2 separate regions of the Mus musculus genome follow, and region 1 is reported to be linked to region 2. Evidence: microRNA targets listed by miRTarBase, many of them from high-throughput screens and not tested one by one. Region 2 holds a microRNA gene; the other region holds the end of a gene's coding sequence.

Evidence for each region. Region 2 holds the annotated microRNA mmu-miR-200a-3p (UAACACUGUCUGGUAACGAUGU, at 3,904-3,925, shown strand). A microRNA usually pairs through its seed, bases 2 to 8, with sites in the 3' UTR of a target mRNA and lowers its output. Matches are read on the target gene's strand: a 7mer-m8 pairs with bases 2 to 8, a 7mer-A1 pairs with bases 2 to 7 and ends in A, and an 8mer does both.
Region 1: the mRNA of Dlx5 is a reported target of mmu-miR-200a-3p. Seed matches in the 3' UTR shown: 7mer-m8 at 10,142-10,148.

What each region holds. Positions count from the first base shown.
Region 1 is chr6:6,867,977-6,878,595 of GRCm38, forward strand. It overlaps Dlx5 (distal-less homeobox 5), which reads right to left. Exons shown (of 3, transcript NM_010056.3): 3 at 9,825-10,512. The coding sequence ends at 10,183. Dlx6os1 (distal-less homeobox 6, opposite strand 1) reads right to left here and starts at 3,651. Exons shown (of 2, transcript NR_155496.1): 1 at 3,513-3,651.
Region 2 is chr4:156,047,701-156,058,835 of GRCm38, reverse strand. It overlaps Mir200a (microRNA 200a), which reads left to right and starts at 3,851; the gene lies at 3,851-3,940. It overlaps Gm13648 (predicted gene 13648), which reads left to right. Exons shown (of 2, transcript NR_132444.1): 2 at 4,807-6,121. Mir429 (microRNA 429) reads left to right here and starts at 4,849; the gene lies at 4,849-4,931. It overlaps Mir200b (microRNA 200b), which reads left to right and starts at 3,086; the gene lies at 3,086-3,155. It also overlaps Ttll10.

The DNA.
Region 1 (10,619 bases), not on the chromosome of region 2:
CCTGGATTTTTATTTACCAATCTGAGACTGAGAGGAGGAGGAGGAGGAGGAGGAGGAGGAGGAGGAGGAGGAGGAGGAGGAGGAAGAGGAGGAGGAGGAGGAGGAGGAGGAGAAGAAGAAGAAGAAGAAGAAGAAGAAGAAGAAGAAGAAGAAGAAGAAGAAGAAGAAGAAGAAAAGAAATGGAAGAACCCCCCCCCCAATATCTCTTCAAGAAAGAAGAAAATTTGGTTGTAAAAAGTAGAACATTGCCACAAAGGAAACACTGCATGTCTTTTCAAAATGCAATGATCAGGAATGACAACTCAGCTAATACAAACAGTAACAGCAACAAGAAAGATGCTCTTTGCATAACCCACCTCCAAACTCTGAACTGGAAAGAAGAAAGACCAAGGAAAACAACCAAAATCACCATTCTATTGCTTTGACACCTTTCTTAGGTGAATAGTGGCATTCACTAAGCTAATAGGGACGTTTATATCAAGGAACATTTCTGTATATATTGTTGAATTTTAGTTGTATATATACTTTGTATGTTTTTGTCTTCTTTCATATATGGAGTAAAAGCCACAAAATGTTGGGAGTGTCCTCTACTGCTCCAGGTCTCTGTCTGTCTATCCTTCCTCCCTTTCCACTATATTTTCTATCTCTCTTAAAATAATTTTTGTTTCCTAATATGGTGTGCTCTATACATACGTATTCAGTGCCTGAAAAGATGTCAGTTTCTACCACAAGTCTTTGTCTCAGGTACTTTAACATGAGCCATGGGTGTTCTCAGGCTTTCATTTTAATTTTGTTGTGATTCACACACACTTTTGTATTTTTAAACATTAGAATAACCTAGACACAGCTTAACTTTTAGACATCCAGACAATTCCATACTGTATCTGAATATTCTCCTTCCCCTTTCCCTAGATAAAATAGTACAGCTATATTTGCCTTTGGAAGCATTTTTTTAAAAAAAAGTAAAAAGAGAAAAGAATAACAAACCCAGAAAGCAAAGTGCACAATTTTGACCACTTAATGTTAAAAACCCGTTGCAAGCTAGCAAGGTAGGAAAATGTTCTATCCTGCAAGAAACACATCCTTCCGATCTCGTGGAAAGCAAAGAAATAATGAAAATGAAAAGTCCTTTCGTCATACAAGCAGGAAGCCCCATACTGTGAGAATTAATGGCTACAGACCTGGGCATCCTTCAAATTATGAACCTTGAAACCACTGAGCCATTTATCAGAAGTCAATAGAGATACTCAGAGTGCTCCATATAATGACAGCGACATACAGTCGTGCAAAAGGACAGTCACTATAATTAGACACAAAGCAAAGACTACTTACCAATATCCCCGTTCCCTTTTTTGTTGAGCAACTTCCACGCTCAGTCAGTCTTCAGAATGGTTTAAAACCGATCAGTCTTGTCATTTTCTAGCATTCGCATTGTTACATTAGGAAAAATGTTTTCTTTTCTTTTTTCCCCCTTCCTACTGTGAAACTTTGGGTTCGTAGCTCCCCAGGATCAATTCTGAACAAAGCCTCCAGCTGCAGTGCCATCCAATTTGAAGCAGACATTGGGGACAATTTAAGGTTTTTATCCACAAGAAGGTTTTTTTCCATTCTCTTAAATGCAGCCATAATTAGAGTAATTTTTCATGTAGCCCGCTGATTACAGCGTTTTTACCGTCAAAGATAATTACCTGTAATTTTCTTCCACTTTTAATACTAAAAAGCCATCTTTATTTAGATTCAGGAACAGGAAAGGCGAAACAAAAGAGGGAAATTATTCTGTTATTCATACACAAATTGCAGAGACGTAGGACCTAAAATTGAAAATTAACCAAAATTATAATGCTGGAAAGAATGGAAGAGGCTGCAGAAGTACAGCTGGTAGTAGGGCTTTGCTGAATTATTCAAATTATGTTAGAGAAAAAGCTACCATATATCGAAACCAACACTAATTTTTCCTTAAAAAATTTCACCAAATATATGCCAAACCACTGTGAGTGTATAGAATTCTGAAACCAGAAAATGTTTATTACTAGGTTGGAGGTGGGGCTGATGCCTCTGCATCCATCTTTATCTCCTATTGAACATGAGCTTAGTTACAGAGATGCTGTCAGATAGTCCCCTAGAACTCTGCTTAGAACTGGGCTCCCACTGGATTCCCTGAACTCCAAGGGTTAATAGTTTTTTCTCCTTTAAAATGTATTGACCCCCAAGGAAACTCGTTCCCCGAGGGAGGGATTGGTAGGAGGAGCATGGGTGAAAGGTGTTGCCAGTTGAGGTGTCTATTGCGCCTCCCCATGTTCAAACTCCCTACTAGACTGTAGAGTTTGAGTTCCCAAGCCCTGTTCTGACTATACTAAAGGGCTGGGGTGAGGAGCATAGCTATTGGGTAGGAATATAAGAGAGAGACAACTTCTCCTCCTCTCTAACAAATAAACACCACATTATCTTTGGACACAATTTAGTGCAAAGGTTCTTGCCATGGTAGAAAAGCTTCTCTCGGCAGGGTGGGCAGTCAAAGACATTGTGGGATCCTATACTAAGCACTCTAGCTACTTATAACATTTACAGGGTCAGGGAACAGCGTCATCTAGAGACGGAACAGCACAGCTTGTTGCCAATATCTTCCTCGGTACATAGACTACACTGGTTCCTTGGCTTCATAAGTTGTCGATTCTGTGTCCCAACCAATCATCCCCCTCTAAGCCCAGGATCACAGAATTTGGGCTCAGCAGGCAATAAGCTCCACGGTCTGGATACCTTCCCCTCCCCCACTCCCCACTCCCCTCTGCGCTCTCGCTCTCTCTCTCTCTCTCTCTCTCTCTCTCTCTCTCTCTCTCTCTCTCACACACACACACACACACACACACACACACACACACACACGGACAGGGAGATACAGAGAGACAGAGACTACAGCTCTATGCAAGGCCCTACGGAACAGCCTTGAAGGGTTTCAGATGCCATTTATTCTACAAACTTTCCCCCAGCTGGAGAGAAGATGCCCAAAGGGCTGCAAAGCCCAGAGATTCAGGCACACCTGCTTTTGCTAACATCCATCCCCATAGCTGACTGCAAAGAAGCAAGCCACACAGCCAGCTCTGTTTGATCTCTGATGCCTCAAAACCTAAAATCATGGCCGCATATAAAAACCTCAATGTATTTACTTAAGATCAATTGTAAGTAACAATTTTCAGATAGATTTTTAGCTTGGACTCTCGGGCTCCTTCTACAACTCGCAGAAACCTGGTCCTTTCTTCGTCTCAAGTCACAGACTACACCAAACACATCAGTCGCACGGAAGCAAGACAGGCAAGTCAGGTTCTTAGGGATCCCATTCTCACCAGATCAACTCTTACTGTTAAAGGAAAATAAAAGGTCAGAGCCCAAACCTTGAAACCAAAGTTGCAATTCAAGTAAATCACAACAACATATTGTATATAGCTTGGAGAGTCTGAGAGGAGAAATAAAAACAGTACTTAGAAGTTAGAAGTATGCCAAAAATAAAAACTTACCCCGGTGAATATCTCTTAAGCAATGATCAGGGTCTAGAAATCTATACTGAGCGGAGGGAGGCACAGGAGAGCGTTTCTCTGAGTCTCAGGGCAGAGGCTCTGTCTCTATATTCTTGGTTGAGTGAGCACATCCAGGTGTGAAATTGTTTGCACACCCCAGCACCTCTTATATTGCCAGCAAAATTAGCTGTTATTACTGTCACTGTTTAGTGATGGTTAGCGTGATACAAAAAAAAAAAAAAAAAAAAAAAAAAAAAGCTGCTGTAATCAAGACCTGGCGCATCTTTGCAAATTACAGATAATTGTAAACGTCCAGATTATGATAATAGCATCCTAATCCAGCCTGCAATATAATTATTACAGAGTGTTACATCTGAAACTGTCCAGTAGGGCTAATTCAGCCATTATTTAGACCCTATTTTTTGTACTGCAAATGGGTTGCTGAGTTGAAAATGTACGATTGTAATTTCACAGGGCACTCAATGAGTAATGGTATAGGAAGAGGGAAAGTACAAAAGTGAAATGTGAACAGTAGCGATCAAATCAAACCCTGAAGGACAAAAGACTGTTTGATTCATATGGAAAAAGAAGAGCCAGAATTAAGAAAATAGCAAATCAGCAGTCTGAAGTATTATGTGTCCAAGTCTTCCACCGTGCAGAGCTGGTGCATTCACAGGGCCCCTGCTGCTGCTGCTGCCTCTGCTGCTGCTGCTGCCTCTGCTGCTGCTGCTGCCTGCAGGCTCAAATAGTTTTTTTTTTTCTTTTTTTTTTCTTTTAAAAACTACTCCCGTCTTTCTTCCCTCTACCATAGCATTTTCCTACTCTTAAAGGTGCCCTTCCCCCACAGCCCCTCCCCCACAGCAAAGGATATTTGTCAGTCCCTCCACTCTCTCCACCAAAGCCACCTCAGAATGTGCCTGTCACTTGTTTATAAACATATTCTTATATGAATCTACAATTGCTCTTGTCATCAGAGCCAACTGCCCTGGGTGCTGTAAAGTGTGTCTTCCCTCTATCCCTCTTCTCTTTTACAATAAAGAAGCTCTACTGCGTCCTAGAGGATATTAGCTGAACACGTATTAATTAATGTTAATTAAATATAGCCATCTGGGAAGCTGTTGGTTTGGTTAATATTTTAAATTTCATCATTAACTTTATTAGTGACCCCCCCCCCAATAAACCATTCTGGTTGCTTCTATGTCACAATTCGCCTAACAGGGCAAGGTTCCTGATCATGTTCAAACAGGAAAGGACAGAATGGAAAAGGGAAAGAGAGCTCAAGAGAGATGGGGAGACTCTTTCTGGTCCTGGAGTCAAACTCTCTGAGGATTCTATTACTTGCAGAAATATAAGTCATGCCCTAGCAGAGTCTGGATTAGTTAGCCTAGCCTCTGGATTAGTTCTGGTAGCGACATCCCAGTTAGAGTACATCCCAGTCAGAGATACCTAAACCTTGTATCCCAGGACTTCAGTTTCCCTGTTGAGCACAGAGAATTTCTTCAGCCTCTTTTCCAGTTTCAAAGCCAATTGTGTTGATTTCCCCTCCTCCCAAGGACATCTTACCGACCCACACAAGCTGCCCAACCAAGGCCACCCTGCAGGGTGGCAAGCAGGCTCCCTAGCTCCTGTGAATTTAAGGGCAATAATGAAATGTCCCCTGTTTAGTGACCCCTGTTTATAGATGAAAGTTGAGTCCATATCCCGCACCCCCTTCCACCCACCCTTCCCCCCCTCTTGCAAATGGCAAGTGGCTGAAATAGTTCTAGGTGAGAATAAGCGTCCGCTGGCGGTTTCTGTTTTCACGCCTTTCAAGGAAAAGAAATGCTTTAAGATAAATCATAGCTTTGAACCGTTTACCATCCTTCACACCCACCCCACCAAAACAACAACAACAACAACAACAACAACAAAAACAACAAAAAACCAAAACAAAACAAAATAAAAGCAATAGACTGTGTATGGTGGATTCCACAGAGAATTGTTATTGAAACTGGGAGGGAGGAGAGAAGGGTGGGGGGATCAGGTCATGAAGCCATTTTCCCTTCCTGTGGTGAAAGGTCATAATGTGTGGTATTTCACGGTTTCATATAAACCTTGGTTTAGGATGCGGAACAGACTCAATAATACGTGTGCTTTTGGCAAAGAAATGAATTCAGAACCACTTAAATCAGAAGTCCGAGCGAGCGAACAACGCGCAGAAACATCTCATTGCTGTTAAGAACAGGACTCGCCTTTCCTTTAAAGAGAGACTCGCTTAAATTCGGTTTGTATCTTCAAAGTTAGAACTCAAAAGTATAAAACAGGTTGTTACATTACAGTAGGCAGCCCTAGCTGACCGCGAAGGAAAGGCTCCTCCATCCCTCAGTCATTCATACCTCTGGCAGTAGACACCTTGTACCCTTTCTGCCTTGCACCACTTAAAAATCTAAAGCCTGTCAGAAGCAAAAGAAAACGCCAGGGATGCGAGTCTCCGGTACAGGCTGCGTGGAAAGGTTTAACTAATACCATGCGCACCACCAAGATTTGGGCTGTTTTCTCTCGGCCTGGGATTGGGTCAAAAATGTGCAAGGTCTGTGGGCAACCTGGAAACAAGAGGGTGGTGGGAGCCAGGAGTCGGAGACCAGAGTAAGTCAAGGAGCCCCCTCCCCAAGCGCTGGGCAGTGTAAACCCGCACCCAGCAGACGGGGGTGCGGGGGGGAGGGGGAGGGAGGAAGGTGCTTGAGAGTGGAGGAGGTGGGGACTGCAGGCTGATCCTCGCGGGTGCCGCACTTCCCAACCACCTCTCTGAGCTACTGCCCTCAGGGCGTGCCTTCTCCAAGAGCTGGAGAGCTCTAAGTTGGCCAGATCCCAGCAGCCAGTGGGAGGCACTGGATCCAAGAGGTGGCGGAGAAGGGGCTGGGATGGGGTGACTGAGTAGTCCTAAAGGTCTCTCTTTGGGAACAATAGGAAGCAAGAAGCAGAGGGTGAGTGCAGAGCAGTTTCCAGCAGGCATCCAGGGCAATTCAAGCTAGAGAGTGCTCGGTACTGAATTGTGGAGGTGGCTGTGTGCTGTAACGCCCAACTCAGGCTTGCTGTGGGTCAGTCAGGAGCCCGCGAGCCACTGGGCGTCCCGTGCGATCAAAGGAGCCATCGGAGGCCAGCCGGCACGCCTTGGGTCGTGGGATAAGGGGCGGGGGAGAAAGGGTTGTCCTTAGGCGGGGAGATACTGATCTGGCCCGTGTCACTGGGAGGGGATGCGTGTACACCTTTGTGTGGGTCAAAGCTTTTCTATGCAAGGCAGAGCCCTAGGGTGGATCCGAGGGGGAGTGGACTGACTCCCGGGTAGGTGCGGGGCGAGAGAGAGAGAGAGAGAGAGAGAGAGAGAGAGAGAGAGAGAGAGAGAGATAGAGATAGATCAAGGGCAGCGAGGTCTGCGGGTTCTTCAGTGTGTGTGTGTGTGTGTGTGTGTGTGTGTGTGTGTGTGTGTGTGTGTGTGAGGCTCTGTGGCTCAGCACTGGAGCCGCCTGGCACCCACAGGAATGCAGCTTCCCTCGGATCCCCAGGCCGCCTCTTGTCCCACAAGGAGGTGGCCGCCAGGAAAAAAAAGGGGGGAGAATGAGGGTAGAAACCCGCCTAGCCCAACCCAAGTCTCAAACAAAGGCCAATTTATCTGATCTTCAACAGGAGGGCTCCGGAGTCGGGCAGGGCACCGAGGAAATCACTCAAGCCCTGCCAACATGCCTTGGGCCTCTGAGTCTTTGCAGGGAGGTCTCAAGATGGAGGTCGAAAGTATTGCGTGGATGGGGGGAGGTCTACGGTGAAGAAAATTAGTTCTGAAGTCGGCTTAATTCATCTTCGGGGCATTAGACAGAGGACTAGGCAAGTGAGGAACAGAAGGGGCAGGCGCAAGAGACTTCTACTTGAAGTCCAGGGCTAGCGGGGTCTGTCAGTGCCAAAATGGAAGGACATGCGCTTGGTACACACAGGAAGAAACAATGGAGAGGTGAGAGGGAGGGCAAGAGAAACAGATATTTTTAGACTTTGCTGAGGATCTGTTATTTTTACATCCTTGGGCGCAGGACTGCAGGGAGTTAAATTCCCCAGGGAGAATCCCCGCAGTGCCAGGAAAGCCCGTTGCGGCTCACTTGCCAGAATATTTTTTGTTCACCGCTCCCCATCCAAGTTGAAAAAAAAAAAAAAAACCCTCCCAATTCAAGAGACCTCTACTAGTGAGGCTCACACAGGGGATGCAATCCTAAAACCAGGTCCCAACCCCTGCCATTGCTGCTCCAGGCTTTTGGCGTAGCAACAAACCAACTTTGGTGTCCTTAACAACCAGCAATGTCCCAGTTTGGGGTGAAGGATGGTGATTAAAGAGCATCCCTCTTTTTTCCTGAGAAAAGTCCGGACCCGCCCTTGCCTTTGCTTGGCTGAATCTGAGGGTCGGAGGTAGTGTAGAAAACTACACACACCCCTTCCTACCAGCGCAGCAGCAGGGAGATGACATCCACCCTCTCCGAATGCCAAGACGGAAAGAGCTTGTTCCCAGCACAGTTTTGACACTCTTGGGAAACCAGTGGGCGAGAAATATTGGGGGGGGGGGTGCGATGGATGTCCTCCGCCCTTGCCAACCTTCCCAAATATACACTCCTGGGTGGGGACAGGCCTGTGACCACCAGAAAGCCAGGTCCTGGAAATCAAGACCAAGCCTTCAGAAAGCTGTGGGCATTTGGTTAATGGAAACTGCTGAAATCTTGCAAGCAAAGAAAGAGCAGAAAATAGATACCCTCATCTCCTCCATTCTACTCCCTGTACACTACAGAAAACAAAATGGGGCCAGGACCTCCCCTAACACCACTGCCCCCCACAGATAGAGTGGAGTGAGGACAGGGGATAAATTTCTGTTTAGGCAGGCTGTTTCCAGGCTGCCCAGGCTGCCTGGAAATATATGTTGGCCATCCCCAAGTCCACTGAGTTTCAAACTGGTGGGATTGGTATCACCTGTGCAAAGAAAGAACAAGAAAAGAGAAAGGAGAACAAATGGAGATAGAAGGCTGATGGGAACGGAGGAATGGGAAGAGACTGGAGAGGCAGAAACTGACTCTGTAAATGGCCCAAGGGCACACAGCTTGCCCTTTCCGTTCTCACTGCTGGTTCTCTCTGAAATTCTGAGATGAGAAGATGCAGTTTTTCATGCTCTAATCCCCCTTCCCAAGAGGGCGCTTTTGTCACATTTATTGCTGCCGACTTCTTAGCTCTGGAATATTTCCCATAAATCTAGTAATTTCTAACATTACATATTCTTTGGAAATAGACTTAGATGGACCAAAGGACAGCCAGCCACAAAGATGCCTATAATTCAGGCCTTGGGGCACAGCCGTGGAGCCACGCTGTAGCTCTGGGCATAGGCTAGATATCTACATGCAGAAGTGTAAGGGACGCACAAATCAGAGGCCAGGTTGCTGCAACTCCCATCCTCCTTCCTTAAAGATGGCTTCACAAAGGAATTCTAGCAAACATCGCATTTCCGATGACTTGGAACTTGCCTGGCCCCTGTTTTATGTAAAAGCAGCACAGGAGATCCTGAAAGAGGCATGAAGTACGGATGCCGGTGAAAGACAATTATATGAAGAACCTTATCACAAGAAATGAAACCAATATAGCCCCCCCCCCACCTTTTTGAAAAGTAATTCTCCCCACCCCCATATTTCTTGTTTGGCCCAGTACTTCAGGTTCACTATTGTTCTGAATCCCTATGGTATTTTCTTGGCAGAAAGAACCTGGCCAGATTTGTAGTCATCCACATTAGGACTCCAAGGCTTAAACTACTGCTTGCTATGCCCCAAACATTTCATATTTTTGAGAAAAAAAAACTATATATATATGAGGAATGATAACAAATTTCCTTTTCTTCCCCTGTCTCATAATTGCAATACACATGCAGATGGGGGAGGGGGTCCCCACCAGAATCACTCTGTGCTTAGAATACCAGGTTATCAAGGGATTTCTGTTGGCTTTTTCCCTCACACACGGTAGGAGAAATGTAGTTAATTTCAATATTCCTTCCTACCCAAAACATTTGGAGCTATATTTAATATCATTTAAATGGTTTTGTGGTTAGAGGGAAAAAACCATCCTAAACACGACAGTACTATAAACAGGCCATATGTGCAGACAGATACATGAAATAGAGCATCCAACACAAACACATTTCTGCAACCAGACAGCTCCTGACTTCTGTTTTGCATTGTTGGATTTCTGGAGAATTCATCTGTTCTTAACCGTCTGCATATAACCTCACTAGCCAGTTATCAGGGGGCCAAAAAGGAGCAGTTTCCATGGTCGAAATAATTTTATTTATCCAGAATATACAGTTTAATTCCTCTATCTACACTTATTTACACGGTTAAAATAACATTGAAAAAAGTCTTTTGAAAAGTTGAGGTCATAGATTTCAAGGCACCATTGATAGTGTCCACAGTTGCGCAAAAAAAAAAAAAAAAAGGGTTCTTTTCGTAAAAAAGGGGGCGGGGCTCTCTGAAATGCAATAACTTACATGCAAAAAAAAAGTTTACACATGAATCTTTTTTGTTTCCATTGTTCAAACATCCCCGTATGAATTCCTTTCTTTCTGATTTCTAAACCAGCACAACACTGTAGTCCCAAAACTGAGCAAGAGAAAGTAGCCCATCTAATAAAGCGTCCCGGAGGCCAGTGCCAGCGGGTGCTGCAAGGAGCCCGGCGGTGGCAGGTGGGAATTGATTGAGCTGGCTGCGCTTGGGTACCAGGAAGCCGAGTTCTCCAGGTAGCTGGACGCGGGGGACTGGTTGGAGGTCGGAGGGTGGGCATGAGGGTGGTGGCTGAGAGAGCGGGATGAGCCCTGGGGCTCCCACACCGCTGGTGACTGTGGCGAGTTACACGCCATAGGGTCGCTGGAGCTGGGACTGTGCTCCGGGGGCATCTCCCCGTTTTTCATGATCTTCTTGATCTTGGATCTTTTGTTCTGAAACCAGATTTTCACCTGGGTGGGGAACAAAGGCACACGTTACCGGGACACTCAGAGGTTGCACGCGCCTTTCCCTGAGCGACGAATGAAGGCTCTCCTGGCCCTAGACTATCCTGCCCTGA
Region 2 (11,135 bases):
TGGTCAGTCTTGCACGCTGGCTTTTTCTCACTGTTCATTTCTGAGGTGTTAACAAAGCCAGGACCACACTGGGGAAGACAGGACAGGTTCCTCAAGCCATTACTCCAGATCAGGTCCATTTAAAAGATTTTTTTTTTCTCCCTTACATGCTAAATAGCACAGCAGCCATGAATAGCCAGCTATATAAATGTCTGGTTGGAGGAACATCTAGACTGTGCTATGGCGTCTAGGCATGCCCAGCCCTGAGTTTGTATCCAGATGGCCAAACTCTCTGAGTTTAAACTTAGGAGCTGATAATGTTGAAGAAAAAGTTGCCTAGTTTTCTTTAGGCATAATATAGAGTATGTTGTTTCATTGTTCTTGAACAAAATCCATAGGATGGAAGAGTGCAGTGTTTTGATTAATATATGTGGTGACTACTTTAAGCCCTTTCTAGCTGAGCATCCGGAAAAGTAGTTCAACTTTGTTTTGTTTTTCTGGTAACCTAGATAAAAATGTTGGAGCAATCGGTAGATTGTTGAATCAAGCAAAATGTTTTGCATTTATGAAAATGCAAATGAGCCATAAAATATGGATATAGTCCATTGTTAATTTTCAGGCATCTTGGTAATTTGCAAATACTTTATTTGCAAAATCAATTTGCCAGGATGTTCTTAGTGTGTAAAATGGCCTAAGGAAGTTCCCCGGTCGCAGGAGGCTGGCACTCAGGGGTGCAGTGGACCTGGAGGGTGAGCTATACAACCGAAGGGCTAAGGGACAATGCTGACGGCTGTGTGGATGAAATGGCGGCTTTGCCTTGAAGACACGCAGTTCCAACAGCCACTAAGAGGTAGCCTGAGTGTAGACAAGACAAGTCTTTCCTGCCCCCACCCTCCCCCTCCCACAGCCGCTGGCATCGAAGTTAGGAGAGGTTGACTTTCAGAGCTTTGTTCTCTGGCCTCAGCATTGATTAAGGCCCCTTGAGCAAGTTAACCAGCAACTTCCCACACTGGGAACGCGTTCCTCTGCCACAAATTCCCAACCTTCCCTGGCCTCGCAGGCGAGGATCAAGGCACTCTGGAAAGGGGGAGGGTGCTTGCTGCAGAGGAGCCTTGGGGGCACTTGGCTTCTGGATCCATTCCTTAATTTTCCTAAACTAAGCCTAGTAGATGCTGATAATTAGCTGTGGGGACCATGACCTGAACCTCACTTTCAGATACAACTGACCAGATGGGCACCACACAGGCTCCAAATAGAACCCCTGTTTTTGCTTTTCATTTCTTGACCTATGGCTGTAATTCTGTCATGTTTTTGTCTCTCCCTTCCCCCTATGCTGGATAAAGCAGGGTCCCCCATACTCAACAGTGCTTGGACACCAAGACACCCAGTCCCAACTCATGACTTTTAGAATCTGTTCAGCCTTTAAATTTTGCTGGAGGACCTACAGAATCTGCATTTTGAAGGTTGTACACACACACACACACACACACTGCTGTCTGAGCACCTGCCCCCATATATCTGACCTTTTGGCTTATGCCCGGGCCAGCTATGCACTTGGCAGAGTCCCCTAGCCTCCCATGTTCCCTAAGAAGTGCTCACCCTGAGTAGTCAAGGATGCAGGGATCAGGCTCATCATTAGATACCATTTCGTCTTCCCTGTTTCTTTGGCACAACCAGAAGGGGGAAAGGCAACATCCTTGGTGCTTACCCTCACCCAGCTCCCACACTCTTTGTGGCTCTGAAGCCACAAGGATAACTGAAATTCTGCTTAGTCCACTTAGTTCTCAAATAGAATCCTTAGTTTGCCAAAGCTCAGAGAGAGAGAGAGAGAGAGAGAGAGAGAGAGAGAGAGAGAAAGTCCTTTTGAAGCACCGGTTTTATGAATCTGATAGGATAGAACTAAAAAAGTTCGGGAAAGGGGAAGTATATCTGACGGGTGTTTGAGAGCACTGGGAACCTTGTAGGCGATAGACGAAGAGTTAGGACAGTTTCTAAAACCTTAGGCTCCTATAGAGTGTCCATTCCCATCTGCTCAGCCTGTGCTCAGGTCAGGTCCTCAGAAATGTTGGCTTTCAGGAGAGAGGCTGGAGAACTAGCGGCTGCCTGGAGGCAGTGACACACGCCTTCGTTGTGATCCGAGGAAATCAGTACAGGGCTTGAGCCACCTGTATTGTGTCTGTGATAGAAAAGACCAGAAAAACGAGAAGAAATACTTCTGTAAAGACGGACTTGGGATGAGGAGAGGCACAGATTGAGTCTCTTTCAGTCCCAAGTATCCTTGGGACAGGTGCTTAGTTTCTTGGCTCTGTATGGGAGACTACAGGCTATGTCCTTAGCAACAAAAAGATCTTTCTATGGGTATGTGATTATTGTATTCATACTGGGGGCTGCTTTTCCCATACGCTTGAAGTGTTGGATCCCTGGTCCCTCATCCCAGTATCCTTCTTGGGCCCTGAAAAAGGCAAGAGGGGCTGGGCAGGAAAGTAGACTTGAACAGTATCCTGGAGACAGAGGCCCACTGAGTGAACCTCATCAACCTTAAGTACACTGTGTACCCTAATGGGACTGGACCTGTTGTCTAGGCTATTCTGTAGTGAATATACTCAGATGGAGGGCCTGTCTATGACCTGATCCTGACCTGGCCATTGGTCACATGGAAGTCTACATAGCCTGCCTCCCAGCTCTTTCGGGCTGTCAGCCTCTGGGAAGGACTATTTGACCCTTCAAAGTCCTCACCTGGGCCCCAAGCTAGTCCACTGCAGGTCAGGTTTGGCTGGGCAGGGGAACTTGTCTATGGCCATGGGTGCTAAGTCCTTCCTCTGGGCCTTATAGAGAGGCAAGAAAGAGGCTTCAGGGCCTATAAGACCCCCATCCTAATTATTTTCCATCTAATTTCCAAAAGAGAACTTGATCTTACTTCAAGCTGTTGACCTCTCCACTACCTATCTTTGGAGATGAGAATGCAGGGCTTTCTGCTGTTGTCCTGAAGGGGTGCCCTCCTTCTGCAATGCTCTGGGGATTAGGACACTTAGGCATCTGGGCCCTGCCCATGGAATCTAGTCATCTTCAACTCCCTGCTAGGCGGCCTCCATATCCAACTTGGGCAGCCGTGGCCATCTTACTGGGCAGCATTGGATAGTGTCTGATCTCTAATACTGCCTGGTAATGATGACGGCGGAGCCCTGCATGCAGCAATGGAGCCGCCTCCTGATCCCAGCCTCCAGGGGCCCCAGTTCCACACCTCACCTACCTTATCCAAGGTAGGGCTATGGGGCAAAGAGTTAGCCTTGGCGATATGGGTGGTGGGAGGCTTTAGGGAGAGTTCCCCCAAACCAGGCACCTCTGAGGGCCACTCTATATCCTGGGGTGAGAGGCTCCTCCCATTGCCCTGGGGGCGCCCCCTCCCAATGCCCTGGGAATTAGGACAGTCAAGTGCCTGGGTTCTGCATACAATACCCAGGCAGGTGCTGCCACCACACCTGGCAGGTGTACGCTGGGTGGAAGTGCAGCAAAGGCTCTAAAGGGCTAAGTCTCCGCCTAGGCTCAGAGGGCCTCATGCCAAAAACTGCCTCACCTACATCTAGGAGCTGTGTACTGATTGACCCCCTAGTGGGGCTACTCAAGCCTGGGATACCTTACCTTCCTGCATCAAGTGAGCACCGACCTATTGACCAACAGCACCTCCAACATGCACACTGAGCCAATGTGTCACTGTCCCCTTGCTTTGGACAAAGCAGACCGTATGAGTTAGGGTCAACATCTCTGCTGGCTTATTGCGATGCATATACGGTCTCTGGCTGTTCATGGCATCAGGTTTCCACTGGGCCTCCCTGAGGGTGGAAACCACCTGTGTCTTCCTGCCAGAGCATACCTGGGCCTCTGTGGGCATCTTACCGGACAGTGCTGGATTTCTTGGCTTGACTCTAACACTGTCTGGTAACGATGTTCAAAGGTGACCCACCATTCGCCGAAGACAGGCTGATGATACACACTTGTCCTCCTGGACTCCAGTTAGGCCGAGGCTGGGTGCTGGGTGCAGAGGGCCTGTCTCAGCTCTACAGATCAGCAGTCAGTGGGGGCTGGACTTTGACCCTTGTCTATTACTTCATGCTGGGACAAGGGATGGTTTCACCATGCCAGGGGTACTGGAGTAGAAGTGGATTGTCACTCATTCTCAGAGCAGCGATGCCCACCTTTGCCAACTCCTCTGCTGGATTTGGGGGTTCATTGATTCCTAGAGAGACTGTGAGGGTTAGTGAGGATGCTGAGCTAGGTAAGGAGACATGGATAGCAGTGTTAGCATAAGGACTGTCAGTGCCTATGGGACCAATGGGCAAGGGTGGGTTCGGGGACCTGAGCCTGGTACACAGAATTGTGACGTCATCAGCTGTTTCCTAATTAAGAACAAGGAATCTCTATTCCTTCCCAATGGCTTTCCAGAATAGGAACTTTGCCCCAAACCAGAATCCAGGATTACTTCTTATCTTTCTTTACTTGGAGCCAGAGTACAGGGTCAGGGAGCCCCACCCAGTATCAGCCTAGATGACTCTTCCGGGGGAAGGAGTCTGTTCCTGGCTTTAATGTTACTCATTAAGCTGACAGCCATTCAGAAAACCAAAGAGGTGCTATGACGAGCATTTGCCAAGTAAGAGTGAGCAGATGACTCTCCTGTTGCACCCACAGACTTCCACACTTGAGGAACAGGCAACCAAGCTGGGCCCTGGTAAGAAAGTCCTTAGAGTAGTCCCAGGTCCTAGAAGGGTGAACCCCAAGAATGGCCCTTGGACCAGAGCAGGCAGGAAGCCAACCCTGGCCTTCCCTCTACAGGTATCAAATCCAACTGCCCAGATGGGGAGGCCCTTGTACTGCCCTGCTGATGGATGTCTTACCAGACATGGTTAGATCTGGATGCATCTGTCTAATACTGTCTGGTAATGCCGTCCATCCACGGCCTTATCACCGCTGGAGACGACATCCTCACCACCTCGTGGACACTGGGTAGAGACAAGACCTTAATCCATCTGTTACAACTGTCCAGAGCTGGGTTCATCAAGCCCTCTATGCAAACAGACCACAGTTTAAATATACAGGCCCCGCTGAGCCTGACTGCCTTCCTCTGACCCTGTAGTAGCTTTCGGTTACAGCCACAGCAGACTGAGGCCTCCGTATCCATCCTTTTCAGGAATAGTCAGTGGGGCGGTCACAGTCCTCTTGCCCTCCATAGCCCACTGGGCTCCACACAGAGACTTCGATCTGTCGTCAGCTGTCACCTGCAGATTCTGTAGCCCCTGTGCTATCAACACTGGTAGGAGACAAGAGGAGATCTAAAACCTTGGTCCTTTGTCTCCTCTCCAAAATTCTCAGGTCATGGAACCAAGGAGAGTAAAAGCAAGTCTAACCACTGTGCCCAAACCCGGAGTGGAAAATAAGTATATGGGTTTCAGGGACAGGGGCACTGCCAAGGTGCCAGACCAGGTGATAGTGACTCATACCCAGGAATATGCACAAGGCTGCACAGCTCTGCCGTTGTCAGCCTGCTTATGAGCTCTTCCTATGCATCCCACCTCTGGCTCTTAGGATCTGAGAGTCATCTTTCAGTCTAACTCTGGATGCTGAATGGCCCGATCTTAAAGATCCCACCCCCACCCCATGTCCCTGAGAATTTTCAAAAGGCTGTTGCTAAAACGGTTGCTCTAGAATGACTCCCAATGCTTACATCATTTGCTATATGGGGAGTTTGAGTGTTGCTGTGATAAGAACTAGAAGTGAACCTCTTAGACCTCATCTGCAAGCTGCTGGCTTCAGTACCTAGACTTCTGCAAACCTCAAGTTGGCCAATACAGCCTGAGTCCAGCAGAGCCAAACCCTACCTCATCCACTGCCCTCTTGAAGGAACCCAACATGCCCTAACAGATTTCTTAGCCCTGGACAGGCCATTCCTCTAAAGAACCATTATAGGGACACTGGACTTCATCTTCCACAGAAACCTGCTGGGCTCCAAGTTCTATGTGGCTGAGGGACTTGTCCGCCCATCGTGCGCTCTATAATAGGTGGTCCCCTTTTTGTCATCTCTTCAAGCATTGTAAATAAAATGCAGGCAAAAAAAATCTTTGTAAGGCAATAAATTGTGTGATTTCTGAAATTTTATGTTGATCATCTCATTTTCACCGTACAAAACATTAACAAGCAGCCTTGCAAAGGATCAAGCCGAGGACACGGGGACTCCAGTGATCGGTGCTCCCGCCAGATAGAAGAGAGACATGGGGCTCATTGTACCCAGCCAGTCATTACACAAACCAGCTCTGGTATGCAATATGTACTCTAGAACCTACCAAGGACAGGTGAATCAGGAAAATGGGGGCTCCTGTCTCAGCCAAGAGTCAGCCTTGGAGTGAGAATTGGGTGTCTTGTGCAGGAACCAAGCCCAGGGTGTTATGAATGTGAAAGCAATCACTCCACCCCTGAGCTACAATCCCCAGCTCCTGGAGTGTGCATTGAAAATGTCATAGCCAGGATCAGAGACAGCTGGCTGCTGGTCCAAAGCCTCTCCAGGGTTGGGTGAGCTACCTGTCCAGCCTGGAGGCTTTCAGCCCCAATAACTCAGCCCAGGGTTTAGTAGAAGTGCTATGTGCCCCAGCCCACCTGCAGTCCCACTGTACTATTAGTCTAGAGCAGAGAGGTCTCTTGATCCAGCACTGGACTGACCACAGAGACCCCGACTCCCAGCACAGCATAAGAAGGGCAGATCTCACAAGTAGAGAATGACAACCTATGGGGCACTCCTATCGCCATAGGACTCTGGGCACAGCTGAGAAATGGTGCTCCTTCAGACCTGCCAAGCACAAGCTCCCACACTGGCAGCTTAGACTAGGGAAGGCCACGTGAGTGACTTGTCATGCCCAGCCTCTAAGGGGATGCTAGAGCCCCTTAACATGAGCAGAACCACAAAAGAACCTGAAGGTGAGGAGATTTACAGGGTAGCCAAAGACAACAGTTGTCTTCCAGAATTTCCAAGATATGCCCCTAGAACCTCAAGAAGGCCCTAGAGGGAGTCTTCAAGTGTCTTCCTCGTCTTAGTTCACAGGTCCTGTGGCTTACAGTCACATACCCTTATCTCTGCTTCCCTCTAAAGAGGTCACCAGTCACTGGGTTTAGAGTACGGCTGGTTGACACAAGATGACTGCACCCAAAATTCTAACTCAGTGACATCTGTACAGATTTCTATTTTTAGAAAGGCACGGTCATGGACTCCAGGATATGGTCCTGGTTTTTGGAAGCACCATGTAGCCCCTGTCAAGTTATTGTGATCCTTGCAAGGCTCTGAAAGATGACAGGAATGTGGATCCATATGGCTGAAAACTTGGGGTCAAAAGCAGGAGTCACACCAGATCCCAAGGACCCCAGCAGGAAACTACAAATTGGCCTCAAAGCCACTTTGAGCCATGCTTGGTGTTAGATCCTAGTTCTTTAGGTATGGATTAAGGAGTCCCTGTGAATACTCAAAATCATCTAGGAAGAATTCATGGGGGGAAGGGGACCTGGAGAGATGGCTCAGTGGTTTAGAGCACTGACTGCTCTTCCAGAGGTCCTGAGTTCAATTCCCAGCAACTACATGGCGGCTCAAAACCATCTGTAACAGGATTTGATATCCTCATCTGGTGTGTCTGAAGATAGCTACAGTACACTCACATATATAAGATAAATCTTTTAAAAATTTCATATACATACACACACACACACACACACACACACACACACACACACATATATATATATATATATATATATATATATATATAGTTCATGGGAGGATGGAAGATGTGGGGCTATGCCCCAGATTCAGATGGCGTTGTGAACTCAGGAACAGCTTCCCCCCAGCCTCCTCAGATCAATTTGACCCATTCTCCACTTCTTGCTTTGCCCAACTTCTGTAAGGCTGCCCTTCAACTCAATGGTCCCTTTCACCATCCACCTAAAACTCTTGTTTACCTTTGGGCAGCTGCTGAATCATAGTTCCCTAGTAACAGTTGCCTGGAGACAGTTGCCAGGTCACCACTGTTGTATCCCAGCAGAGGGTTCCTAAGACCTTGAGAGCAGGTAAGAGAGACTAGGTGGTTACAAGCTGAGGGTCCTGACTAGGACTGAGGCTGAGTCCTTGCCCTCCTGTGCCTCATTTTTGACTCTTTCCGGAAGTAGATAAACAGGAGAGAGGACTGGGCAGCTTGGCTGAGTTCAGCCCTCTGCCAAGGCCACACTCTCCAAACCCAAGTGTCTCAGCCAACAAAGGCGTGTCTTGTGGGGCGGGACTGGTCCATGTGGGCAACTCAAGTTCTGGGGAGGGCTGGGACCCCTTAGAAGGAGCTCTTTGCCTAGAGCCGTGTCTGTCTCCCCCAGAACTGACCCCTCAGAAGGGCCACCTCCTGAGATCCACAGAGAACGCATCCCCAGACAGTGAGCGCAGCTTGGGAGGCACCGGCCCTTCAAAAAATGTCAGCACCTTCTCAGAGCCCTGTGTTGCCAAACGTGTGTGTGTCTAGAGAAAACTTCAGCAGAGCACTGACATGGTCATTTTCTTGGCCATCTTCTTCAGGTTTAAACGCATCTCCTGCCCATTGTACCGGGGTGTGATTTCCTGCCGGTCTTTTTATCTGATCAGGTAAACATGTTTATTTTAAATTTATTATAAAGACTTCAGGCTTCAGTCTGGCTCCTCACCTTGAGCTTTCCCTTAACTTTTATGTAATATCACAAGATTCATGACCACACCATTTGCTTCAGTATTAGACAGCTTGCTTCCTGAAACTGTAACTGAAACTTTTAGTGTAAAACTTCCTTTCTGGATCTTGGGTCTCCTCCTCAGAGACGCCCTGAAACGCGCTTCCTAGATAAGGGCAGTAGCTGGTAGCTTCCCAGTTTAGATGCTGTACCCCAGTCCTTCCTCTCTTGGGTACATAGATCCCTACTCACTCATTAGGTTTTCTATGAAGTTTTTGTTATTTTTGTGGGTTTTCCTTGGTTTTGTTTTTTTAATTTTTGAGGGAAGGTTTCATGTAGTGTAGCTCAGGCTGGTCACCAACTTATATAGTCAGACTACCTTGAATTTCTGATCCTCCTCAAGTAATGGGATTCTAAGTGTGCAATGCCATTCCTGGTGCAGGGGACCAGATCCGGGGCTGATCTTATATATGCTATGCAGCACTGTATCAGCTGAGCTATATCTTGAGCCTTGCTATTTTTTTTTTGTTGTTGTTGTTGTTTCACAGGGTCTCTCTATGTAGCCTAGGCTAGCCTCAAGCTTTTGGCAATTTCCTGTTTTCTGCCTCCCAGGTGCTGGGATTACAAGCTTGTGTTACCACACCTAGCTTAGCTTTAGTAAATATAGATGACAAGAAATAATAATTCATAGCTGAATTCAATGTTAAAATAACAAGAATACGAAGCTAAGAAAGTGACTGCAGAATCGCACACCCACACCTACACTCCTGCCCAGTTCTAAAGCTCCTATCTCAGCCTTTTCCTGGGAGCTTTCCTTTTCTCGGTTGGGAAGGGATCTCCAGGCACTCCTGGATTCTTCCATCTTTGCAGCCTGTCCTCTAGAGTGGCATGAGTTTCTCATTCCAGGATTTCTCTCCACCCTACAGAACTTTTTGGATTTTTTTTTTCTTCTCCTGTTGATTCAGTAGGGGTAGAATTGATAGACATGATGCCCATATTTGGCCTTTCTTTGCTGTCAGTCAGTCAATCCACAGACCTGTCTTCCTCCTTAAGGCTGACCTGCTCCTATCCAAAGGCCTTGTCTTACCCTTCCCAGTCACAGAGTTCTCTGTACCGTCTCATCATTCACCCAACACACTGGGTTTATTCACTTGATGTGATGGGAGGCACAAACTTTTGTCTAGGAATTAATTTAAAATGCCCTAAAATGTTCCAAAGACGGCAAATAGGGAAAAGGGACAACATCTGGGGCAGGGGTGCTGGGAGAAGAGGAGTTGATGGTAGCTATAGACAGGTTGTGTTAGTAGGACCTGGGCTGAGCACTTGGGTAGCCATAAACCGATAGGACCTTTGTTTGGGGCTTGGAGCTTCTTTGACCTTCAAGTCTGCAGATGTGCACTCTACCAGCAACAAGACTGATAGGCAACCTCTTTGCAGCAGACACAGAGGCCACACTCGTCGAGGCCAGAACAGTCTTGGCCGAAGAAAACTCACTAGGCAGAGACGGGATGCAAAGATGGCCCTACACCCACAGGCCGGAAGGCCTCACAGAGATGGAAGTGAGGCACAAGCTGAAGCCACAGCCCAGGACTTGGGGAGGCTTCCTTCCCCAAGCAAAGTGGGTGCAGCTGTCTGTCCCATTCAAGGGCTGGGACATCGGGCTGCTCGAAGACCCCGAAGGGGTATAGGGACTACATCTGCCTCAAGGGTTCCTCGCCCTGGTGCCCTTATGCCTGCAACACGAAACCGTCCAAGATTCATCCACTGCCGGGGTCAGCCCCCTCGAACCCGTGTCAGCTCCAAGAGATCCAAACGGTCCAGAATCCATCCGTGCCACACTGAGGTGCCAGGTGAATGCAGAGGGGCCCTGGGACTGGTTACACATGCCCTCAAGTCAGGGCCTCCAGGGAGAGGGAAGAGGTGAGGCTCACACTAGACCATGCCCAGCCAGCCAACCAAGCAGTCCCTGAAAGAAGCTAACAAAGGTCCACATACTAGGGACACTATGCTCAAGAATCTGCAAGCTTTACCTGTCCGTACCATCACAGCGGGCCCTCACTACCCCAACCCCATTTCGTGCAAGTTTCTCATCTCTCCTGGTTGACCATAGAGACTTGAGTCACCCATGATGTCATCATAGACATTGTGACCCCTGCCCTCTGGAGACATCCCCAAATCATGTTTGTATGGACTCCCGTCTCACACTCTAGCCCACTCCCTGCATGGAGCCTTTCCTACTGGTAAGGAGGGTGGAGACGGGGCCACCCTCTTAACTCCCAATGTAATCTCCACACTACATGGACTCTGCCTGAGTCCATGGCTGGTAATGTCTCCTTTCTTGGGTGTAATGACCCTCAGGCCTCCTAGTCAGGTCTGTATTGGGCTGAAGAAAGGTCCAGGGGGTCTGGGTTAGTTCCCAGCAGCTGCTGGCATTGGCTGGG